Linked DNA regions of Mus musculus: region 1 is reported to be linked to region 2. Evidence: microRNA targets listed by miRTarBase, many of them from high-throughput screens and not tested one by one. Region 2 holds a microRNA gene; the other region holds the end of a gene's coding sequence.

The links. The annotated mature microRNA mmu-miR-871-3p reads UGACUGGCACCAUUCUGGAUAAU and lies in region 2 at 1,493-1,515, opposite strand. An mRNA with a match to its seed (bases 2 to 7 or 8) in the 3' UTR can be bound and repressed. Matches are read on the target gene's strand: a 7mer-m8 pairs with bases 2 to 8, a 7mer-A1 pairs with bases 2 to 7 and ends in A, and an 8mer does both.
Region 1: the mRNA of Asprv1 is a reported target of mmu-miR-871-3p. Seed matches in the 3' UTR shown: 7mer-m8 at 953-959.

What each region holds. Positions count from the first base shown.
Region 1 is chr6:86,628,326-86,633,709 of GRCm38, forward strand. Asprv1 (aspartic peptidase, retroviral-like 1) reads left to right here. Exons shown (of 1, transcript NM_026414.2): 1 at 1-1,385. The coding sequence ends at 868. Among named protein-coding and RNA genes, the nearest start is that of Asprv1, 2.8 kb to the left of the region's middle.
Region 2 is chrX:66,808,946-66,814,329 of GRCm38, forward strand. Mir871 (microRNA 871) reads right to left here and starts at 1,559; the gene lies at 1,483-1,559. It overlaps Mir470 (microRNA 470), which reads right to left and starts at 5,080; the gene lies at 5,006-5,080.

The DNA.
Region 1 (5,384 bases), not on the chromosome of region 2:
AGAGCCCTCGCTCTCCAGCGTGATTGCGCCCACACTCTTCTGTGCGTTTCTTTACTTGGCTTGTGTTACTGCTGAACTTCCAGAGGTGAGCAGAAGGATGGCCACCAGCGGAGTCAGAAGCAAGGAAGGACGCCGGGAGCATGCCTTCGTCCCAGAACCTTTCACTGGTACTAACTTAGCTCCCAGCCTTTGGCTGCACCGCTTTGAAGTCATTGATGACCTCAACCATTGGGATCATGCCACCAAACTGAGGTTCCTGAAAGAGTCGCTCAAGGGAGATGCCCTGGATGTCTACAATGGACTCAGTTCCCAGGCCCAGGGCGATTTCAGTTTTGTGAAGCAAGCCCTCCTGAGGGCCTTTGGGGCCCCTGGGGAGGCCTTCAGTGAGCCCGAAGAGATTTTGTTTGCCAACAGCATGGGTAAGGGCTACTACCTTAAAGGGAAGGTTGGCCATGTGCCTGTGAGATTCCTGGTGGACTCTGGGGCTCAGGTGTCTGTGGTTCACCCCGCCTTATGGGAGGAGGTCACTGATGGTGACCTGGATACTCTTCGTCCTTTTAACAATGTGGTCAAAGTGGCCAATGGGGCAGAGATGAAGATCTTGGGTGTGTGGGACACAGAAATTAGCCTGGGCAAGACAAAGCTGAAGGCCGAGTTTCTGGTGGCCAACGCCAGCGCAGAAGAGGCTATTATTGGCACAGACGTCTTGCAGGACCACAATGCCGTGCTGGACTTCGAACACCGCACCTGCACCCTGAAGGGGAAGAAGTTCCGCCTGCTCCCTGTCGGGAGCTCCTTGGAGGATGAGTTTGACCTGGAGCTTATTGAGGAAGAGGAGGGGTCTTCTGCACCGGAGGGCTCCCACTAAGAAACCCCATTTCTTGTTCCCAGCATTGGTAGGGGGACTTTGTGTTGGGGGGAGCAGATGTCCTGGGGGGTATCATCCGGCCTAGCCAGTCTTTACACCGGTTCTCAGTTTCCCTCCTTCTACAGGGGCCTTGCTTTGCCTTTGTTTGGGGAGGGAGGCCAGCTTGGTGGCCTAAAGCAGTGTCCCCAAGGTCTGCAAAGACTTCCAAGGCTGGCAGGAGCTTCTGAGGAAGCCAGGAATGTCAATCTTGAGAGAGGACCCTTTTAGATCCCCTGAAGTATGGCTCAGTCACTTTCACGTCCCCAAGCCTGCTGAGCTGAGCCTGGTCTTGGCTAAGACCCTCACAATCCAGATGCTTGGAGGAGACTGGCAGCTGCTCTGGGAGTCCTCCCTGAGTCCTCCCACCTGCACAAGGATGCTCCCTCCTGTCCTGTCACTTGCCTTGAATCTCATGGAGCCTGTATCAATAATTCAATTATTTCAAAACACCAATAAAGATCTGTTCATGGAAAAAAAATGTCATGTGCTCGATAGTTGTGACAGAGTTGGGAGGGAGAGGAAAACACAATCCTCGAATGCTTGGCCTGGGGAGGCAAAAGAAAGCAAGCAGTTCAGTGGGGTCTTGGGTTTTCTAAGGTGGACTGCAGATATCTGAACTTCTAACCCTCTCATCCTTCTAACGCCTTCCGATTCTGCTGTTTCAATCTACAATATTAGCATTCGAATTGTCCCTTATGCTCAAATGTGACCAAGGCTATCTTGTGAGGTCTTTGGCTTGGCGATCAAGACATTTCTGCCAAACAAATAGGTTCTTACTGGTGCCCAGGGAGCCTGGCTTAGAGGTAGAAATAGGGCCAGGAGACAGGCATGGGCGTGTGACGGGACCCTGGGAAGGTCTGGGACTCTGGCAGCTGGGGGCAGCTTGGCTATGGGGTAGCTCATTTGGGGGAGGGGATGGGAGGGAGGTGAGGGCATTCCTAAACCTGGGGTGGGTTTCATCTCTTGTTCAGCTTGGGTTTTCTGCCAACTCCCAGCCTCCTCTGAGACTCTGAAAACTCACCAGGCGTTGGGGAGTGGATTGGGTGCTCCAGAGAGGAGCAGATGTGTCCTGAATTGTGGAGCCCACGCCTTGAAAGCTGAGCCCAGGAAGCTGGCACAAGGCCAGAAGTTCAGTTGTGCAAAGGGTCTGTAGCCAGTCCCCTGCTGGGACTTGGGGGCAGAGTTTTGGGGATCCTCTGTTTTCCTTGGTGATATTGGGAATTGAACCTAGGGCCTCACACGATGCTAGGCAACTGTTTCACTACTGAGCTATACCTCCCACTACCTTCTAAAACACCTATTATATTCCAATGTAGTGGTTCGTTAAATGGCCTAGGCTGGCCTTGAGGTCATTCTGTAGCTCCAATGGGCATTAGACTTGTCATCTTGCCTGAGTTTCCTGAGCACCTGGGTTAACAGGCCTGTAGCACACACCTGGCTGCTGTTTTCCTGCCAGGCCCCTTTTTTCCAGGCTCAAAGGAGTGGCTGGCTGCTGGCTCCACCACCTGTGGCCCTCTGAGCAGGAGGCAGGAAGCCTCTTCCTGAGAGCTAGATGTCTTCTGAGCCAATCACAACAGCAATGCCATTCTCCTTGGCCTCTCTTCCCTGGTACAAGGCTGACTCAGGATCTAATTCCTAGGGTTCACTAAAGCCTGCCTCTGGGCAGCCAAGCCCAGAATGAACTGGAATTAGCCCCAGAGCATGGGTGTACAGGTGTGGACAGGAAGCCTGGACCACAGAGGGTGGTCGCATTGAGGACCTAGGCCCCGCCCCCTCATCTCTCTGGAGATCTAAGGAACGTTGGTGTTGTCCTGGGCCTAGCCTTTGTCTCTAGGGCACAAACCCAGTGGCACCTCCCATGACCTAGTTTTCTCTAGGTCCTTCAGATCCTACTTGCTTCTTTCTAGGCCAAAGGAAGGTGGGTGAAGAGTGGGTGGAGGTGAGAAGGGGACCTAGGAATTGGGTAGCTGGGCCAGAATTCTGGGACATTAACTCAAAGTGTCCCTGCCCTTCTCTTACCCAGAAAGGGGCTGAGCTCTGTGCTGGGTAAATTCTTGTGGGCGTCCCTGCAACTTGTGATGATACTATACCTTGGCCTTGAGTAAGAAGGGCCTGGGCTGGCAACTCTCAATGAGGAGACCTCCCCCTCATGCCCCTGAACTCCCCGTGCCCACCCACACCCAGGAAGGGCCTTCAGAACAGCCACCATCAAGAAAGGAATCACGTGGTGCAGGAGGCCTACCTGGACTAAAGCAGATGTTTCATAGGCGTGAGACTGATTAAATGTGGTTGATGGCGGAGGCTGTGGCTGTGGCTGTGGCTGTGGCTGTGGCCGTGGCTCTGCTGTAGAACCTTGCCTAGCATGCAGAAGGAGGCCCTGGGTCCAATCCTCAGTATTCCGTAAGCTGAGTGTGGCGATACCCACCTCTAACCACAGCACACAGAAATCAGAACCAGGAGAATCAGTGGTTCGGGGCCAGCCTTGCTACAAAACCCGGAGTTCAATCTAGGCTGCCTGAGACAGGGAGGTCCTCAGACTACAAGAAGACCAACTTGCTTTCATGGACCAAATTCCAGGGCTGCTCTCCAGGGATCGGGACCCAGGTGCCCAGAGCAGAAGCAAGAAGAAAAGCCAGTGGGTTTGGCCACAATCCTGGGAGATGCATTTACAATTCATTTACAGGTTGTCCAATCCTGGACACGGCTGGCTTCCCAGTGGAGGATGGAGTGTGGAATGAAGAGGAAGGCTGAGATCTGGAGACATTGGGAGGTGCTGGGGTGAGGAGAAGCTTGAATCTTGGTGGTACACCAGACTCGCACGGGGAGACTGGCAAGAACTCACCTGCTCTTTCAGTGTGCAGCTGCCTGGACCAAATTACACTGGTGCTTTGTCTTGTGTGTGTGTAAGTCACAGCAGATACGCACATCAGGCCTGCCTGGCATCTTGACTAACATAGACTCTCTGGCTCCACCCAGACCTAGGCTAGAGCACAAAACTTCAGTGCCCCAGCCTGGGCCACCCTTCATTAAGGAGCCATTGCCTTACCTGTTGAAGATTCCTCTGATCACAGCTCCACCTGCCAGTCACACCCCCACACACACACACACACACAAGTAGGCTAGATCGTGACGAGTGCTTTATTCGGTATATGTTTAATGTTTTGTAGAACTTTTGGAATAATCTCAGGGTTACAGAAAAGTTGCAAGAAAACAAGTTCACATCGTTACTCGTGTTAACTTTATTATTAACTTTAGAATTAACTTTATTAGTCTCCCCCACACAGAGGAGCCATTGGAAGACTGCAGCTCAGAAATACTGTTAGCTGCTTATTTAAAAAAGACTTTCTCCATATAAGCATAACAGTTACCAAAAATCAGTAAATCATATATGTGTGTGTTTGTGTGTGTGATGCACATGCACGTGGTGGCCAGAGATCGATGCTGGTTGTCTCTCTCCACGTTATTGTAAAACTTTTACTACTACATTTTATTTTTATGTGAAGGTATTATAGAGCTAATTCTCTACTTCCGCCACGTGGGATCTGGGAAGTGAACTTCGGTTGTCAGACTTGGTGGCAGCACCTTTACCTGCTCAGCCATCTCATCTATTCCACATTATTTTTTTGACACAGTCTCTCACTGAACCCAGAGTCCATTGGCTAGACTGGCTGCCCAGAAAGAAGATCGTGAACTTCCGGTCCTCCTCGCCGCCATACACCCAATGTATGATTTATGCTGTTCTGAGGATCAAACTGAAAGCATTTGCATCTAGCTAGGCGTTCCACAACCTTAGCCTTTAGGTCACCTTTCATTTTTGTGAATGGCAATTCCTGAAGAGAGGCTCCGTCTTCAAAGGCCAGATGACTGCTTAAGACTTCAGTGACTCGGGGAGGTCGGAATGTTGTAGGAGCAGAGCCTAATTAAGATTTATCTTGGGCTATGTTTTGCCTACTAAATAGCCATTTCATCTCTCCCTCTGTCAGACCTAAATCCTCTGGGACTAACAGATAAAAAAGCTTACCTTAACCCTAGTTTCCTGCCCATCAAAGGGCTAAGAGTTTCACCAGACAGCATCGAGGCTTGTAGCTGAGATCTCTCTGCTCTGCCAGCAGCGCCCACTTCATGTTTCCACCAGTGTATGTGAAGGGTCTTGATCTATGATTTTCTTTGCTCTGTTACTATGAAATCTTCATGAAACTGCTTCCACACTGAAACATGGAATTTGTGCCCCACTCATATTTAGCTCCAGAATAAACTCTCTCTCCATCCTCTTTGAGGTAATAACAATATTTTTGCCTTGAGGATAACTTGTCACTTGCTTAGGCTACCCCCATTTTCATGACTTTGAAATGTCTAATACCCTGGCTGGCTATTTCGAAGCATGGCCTTCACCTTGGCTAAGTCTGCTGTTTTCTCATCATTATGAATTTGGTGGGAACACCCAGGAGAGATGGTGTGCCTTAGGCATCATGCAGGG
Region 2 (5,384 bases):
CCAGAGAGTACCTGGCTACATTCATTTAATCCTACCAGCACCAATTTGCGACTGTCCAGGGCATATTTAATGAGTAGGTCATTTCCTAGACTTCTCCATGACACCCAGTAATAATGCACATTGGATTCTTCTTGTAATCTATTGAAAGCATCAGGAGAATTGCCCACTTATTAGTTACCTTATCTTTAAATTATATTAGATTATATCAATTGCCATTTCCTTAGATGAATGACAGTAAAAAGATATGAACTTTTATTTGCTATTTCTTCTTTATATACAAACTATTTTAATATTCTTTATCATTTTGCTTGAAAATGTACAAACATTATTATAGGCATATAATTGAAAATATACTGAGGATGAATAATTTAGTCGGGCCTGACTAACTCATTTTATATAGCCTATGAATTACTATTATGAGGCTAAGAATGGATAATTAAAACATTTTGAAAATAAGCAAATGATCTACAGGGTCTAAAGCTAATTATAAATATCCAGGAAGACACAACATGGGTGATTTCATCTACACCTACATTATCATCCAAAAGCCATTAAAAAGAGGTAAAGATAAGCCTTCCTCTACCCAGAGAGCTACTGTATACTTGCAGTTCATTTGAATAGCCCCACTGTGGGAAAAGAAATACACAAAAGACAATGTGGATCTGGTACACCAGGAATTTCTACCTTTCTGTTCATCTTTCATCACAGCACTAAAAAAACATAAACCTATACCAACTTATGACTTATTCATAATTTCAGAGATAACAAGATATTCTCTCTCACCATTGACTTCTATTTAACGGATCCCTTAAGTTCCATTCTATGTGAATGACTGTGTCAACTTGGAATGAAGATGTGCGGTTTTCTTTATTACCATTTTAATTATACTTCCTCATTTTCGAATCTACTCTTTTTAATTTTTTAATCTAACTTACTGGTAATAACATTAAAAATTATTCATTGATGTACCAAATTCACTCTGAAAATTCCTAATAGGCAGGTAGTGAACAAGAAAAACTTGTATCAACATATTTTCTAATGGACCAAAACATGTATCACAATCATGACTGATCTGCTGTGATAAAAATTAGACTTCCTCATACTTACTGTGTTTAGAGAAGAATCACACACCTCCACCACCACACTTCATTCAAGGAAACAAATATATATTCCTTTACATTATATTTTTCTCTCTGGATGCTCTGGACTCTTGTTTGTTTGTCTAATTGTCAAAATTAAGTATATAAAATTGTATTCATTTCATGTTTTTACCTGTAGTATAAAGGTACTTAGTATCCTCCAATTTTATCTTCTATGAACTGTAAGTGCTCCTGAGTTGTGATTTCTAGAAAAGAAAATATTTTCTATAATTATAGATGCTACAGGAATCAAATGACAAGCTGAAATTATGGAAGGCATGTAACATTCTTCGAAGTATATACTACCATGAACATCCAGGGTCAAATCACTTGAAGAATATAGTGAGCATTACATTATCCAGAATGGTGCCAGTCATATGTATTTCACATGACTGGCACTAATCTGAATAGAGCACTGCACACAACTCACACAACATAGATTTGTCAATGCCCCAGCCTTAATCTTACTAGAGCTATTTATGAGCCACAGACAACAAACCCAGTTTCACCTGGAATTTTCAGAAAAAAAGATTCTCATGGATCCTATCTTCCTGTCAAGAGTTGAGTCATGAAAATAAGCCTTTTTTAGTTTTCCACTAATTGTATTAGAATGTCTTTAACAAATTATCAGAACTTTTAACCAAATTACTTCCTCTGAAAAAAACTTTAAATATAATACTCAATAGTCCAAATAAGTAAATGAGGTGATTTGTGATATTTCCTGTGAGCAGAAAAGCCATCATAAGTATATTTTATCTCTCTGTCTGCCTATTTTTTCCTTTTTCTATTGATTTAATATAGCACATTATTTTAGGACAGTATTATCTCATTGTAGTACTTTATATGCCCCAATACAGGGGAATGCCAGGGCCAAGAACCAGGAGTGGATGGGTAGGGGAGCAGGGAGGAGGGAGGGTATAGGGAACTTTCGGGATAGCATTTGAAATGTATATAAAGAAAATATCTAATAAAAAATAAAACAAACAAACAAAAAACAAAAAAAAACCCCAAATGTCTATTTTTATTTATTCACTTTCCATTCCTAACACTGCCACCCCAATCCTTCCTCCCTTTCTTCCCTGATGGCGGGGGGGGGGGGTAGGTGGTTGGGTAAAATCCCACCCTAGTATACCAAGTTTCTGCCAGGCTAGACACACTCTCTTTGATGAAGGACAGAAGGCAACCGATTAGGGGAATGGATTTCGTAGACAGGCAACAGCATTAGCAATAGTTCCAGCTGTTAGGACCCACATGAAGATCAAGCTGCCCATCTGCTTCATATGTACGGAGAGGCCTAGGTTCAGCCTGTGTATGCTCCTTGGTTGGTAGCTCAGTCTCTAAGTGCCCCAAGGGTCCAGGTTAGTGAATTCTCTTGGTCTTCCTGTGGAGTTCCTATCCTCCTTCAGGTCCCAAGATCTTTACTTCTGTTCTTCCATTAAGAGCCCACAAGTTCCATCTACTGTTTGGCTGTGACTGTCTGAGTCAACTGCTGGGTAGAGCCTCTCAGAAGACAGCCATGCTAGACTTCTGTCTGCAAGATAACAGAGTATCATGAAGAGTGTCAGGGATTGGTACTTAACCATGGGATAGGTCTCTAGTTGGCCAGTTATTGGTTGGCCATTTCCTTAGGCTCTGCTCCATCCCTGTCCCTGCATTTCTTGCAGACAGGATAACATTTGAAATGAAAGTTTTGTGTGTAGATTGGTGTCCCTGCCTGGCTACAGCAGATGGCCTCTTCAGGTTCCATCTTCAGGTTCCATATTCCCAATGCTGTGAGTCACAGCTAAGATCACCCCCACTGACTCTTAGGAACCTGCCCTATCCTAGTTCTCTGGTGCATTTTTTTTAGTATTTTATTGAATATATTTGCATTAATATGACAAGATAAATCGGCCTGAAATTCTTTTTCTTAGTTAGCAGTATTCCTTCTGCTTCTATTTTGTGCAATAGTCTGAGCAGTACTGGCATTAGCTCTTTCTTTAAAAGCCTGGTAGAATTCTGCACTAAAACCACCTGGGCTTTTTTCTTTTGATAACTGTTTCCCTTTCCTTAAGTGTTATAGGGATGTTTCAATAGTTTACTTGATCTTGATTGAACTTTGGAAATAGGTATCTTTCTAAAATGTCTTACAATCTGTTAAAGATTTTCCAAATTTATGTAGAACAGGCTTTTAAAGTAAGAGCTAATGATTCTTTGAATTTATTCAATTTTATTTGTTAATGTCTCCCTTTTTAATTCTGATTTTGTTTATTTGGATACTGAAAGTAGGGAAACCTCACAATGGGCCGAACAGGGCCATAGCTACTTTCCATTTTTTATGGAGGTCCCTTCATATGCTAATAGCCTGGCACCTCCCAACAGTGGGATAGTTGGCTACTCCAGAGCTTGTATCAATACCCCATTGGTCCAAAAGCTGTATAAAAACACTTGCAAATGCACAATACATTAGATCTGTACTCAGTGATGATCTCTAGAGTTGATTTCCCCAACTCCACTTGCCAAAACTGCTCCTGAATTCTGGTTCATCCCACAAAATAGGTTAGAACAGATAATACACTAAATGTACAAAATAAAGAAAAAACTGCAACCACAAAAAGGCCAGGTATAATCTGAAGAATAATTTATCAATATTATACCTGCCTTTTCAACAGAAACAATAACAGCCACAGGGCCTGAGAAGATGTCTTACAGCTTCTAAGAGACCACAGATGCCAGCCCAACAAAATTTTTGAATCACTACGAATGGAGAAAGCAAACTATTTGATGATAAAATTAAATTAAAACAGTATTTATAATAAATAAATTAATTTTAAAAATTACTCTAATGAAAAGAATATATTGTCTTTTCAGCACCTCATGGAACCTTTTGAAAATTGGCCATATCCTTAGACAAAAACCAAGTTTCAAAAGATACAACAAAATTGAGATTACTGTATTATTTCAGATCACCATGGATTAAATCTGGACTTTAATGACGGAAACAACAAAAAGCATACAAACCCAGGAAAACTGAACAACTTCCTACTAAATGACTCCTCAGACAAGGAAAAAAAATAAAGACCCAAAGTTATGGGAACACAATGAGAGCAGTGCTAAGAACTATTTGGGAAAAAATAGGCGAGACCTTATTGGAGAAGTTATGTCACTGGGGGTGGACTTTGAGGTTTTAATAAAAGCCATGCAATTCTCAATTAGCTCTGTGGCTGAAGATCAGGATGTAAATGCTCAGCAACTACTCTATTGCCATTCCACTTGTTTACCATCCTGTTCCCTGCCATAACAGTCTTGAGTGCTCACCTCTTCAAACTTTTCACCACCCATAAGAATGTGTTTTTTGTTGGTTTGCTTTGTTCTGTTCTGTTTTGGTTTTTTATTAAGTTGGATCCTTTGGCATGGAGCATTGTCTCAGCGATAGAAAAGTAACTAAGCCACCTTCTATTCAACAGGTTCCACTTTTATGTATTTTATACCATCAAGACAAATATAACCACCTTCAAACAACACATACAATAGAGAACTGGTATAGTTTATCTGCTCCATCTGATTTCATCATTCTTCAAACAAAGCTTTATTTTTGAATGTTAACTTATTTATTTAAAAATACCATGGAAATATCCTTTATGTTATATTTCTTCCTGTTGGTTCTATGAAAAACAACCAATTTTCTTTGTTTTACATTTTTCTTCTATAGAAAGGAACTTAATATTCTTTTTGCTCTGGTTCCGTAATATGTTAGTTTCCGTAACTATTCATATTGAAACCTATATTTGAAGATATTCAAATCTACCTAACATTAGAAAGTGTCCTCCAAGGTCCTTATGGATAATCCACTATCTTGATTCAGGAGCCTCATCAAAAGAATGTGATGAGCTTTACTCTTCTCAGAAAGGTACTGGTTGTATTTAGTTTAACTCACCAGTGCCAGTCCAAGAAGAGCACTGCACACCACAGCTTCAATATAGAGACATTATTTCAGCCATTTCCATCATGATGTTCAGGTTTTATCATAGACCAAATAGAATATGAAAAATAACTATGGACATAATTTATTCTAAAATTACCTTAGGATAACCAACACATTTTTTACAGTAAATTTCATTCAAGGTACAATGCATATTGTGGTTCATAACCACCTATTACCCCTGTTCCCAGAAATGTAATTCCCTCTTCTGAACTGGTAAATATAAATATATGGATACAGAGCATCCACATACACAAAATAACCTCCCTCCAAAGCAGACAGAT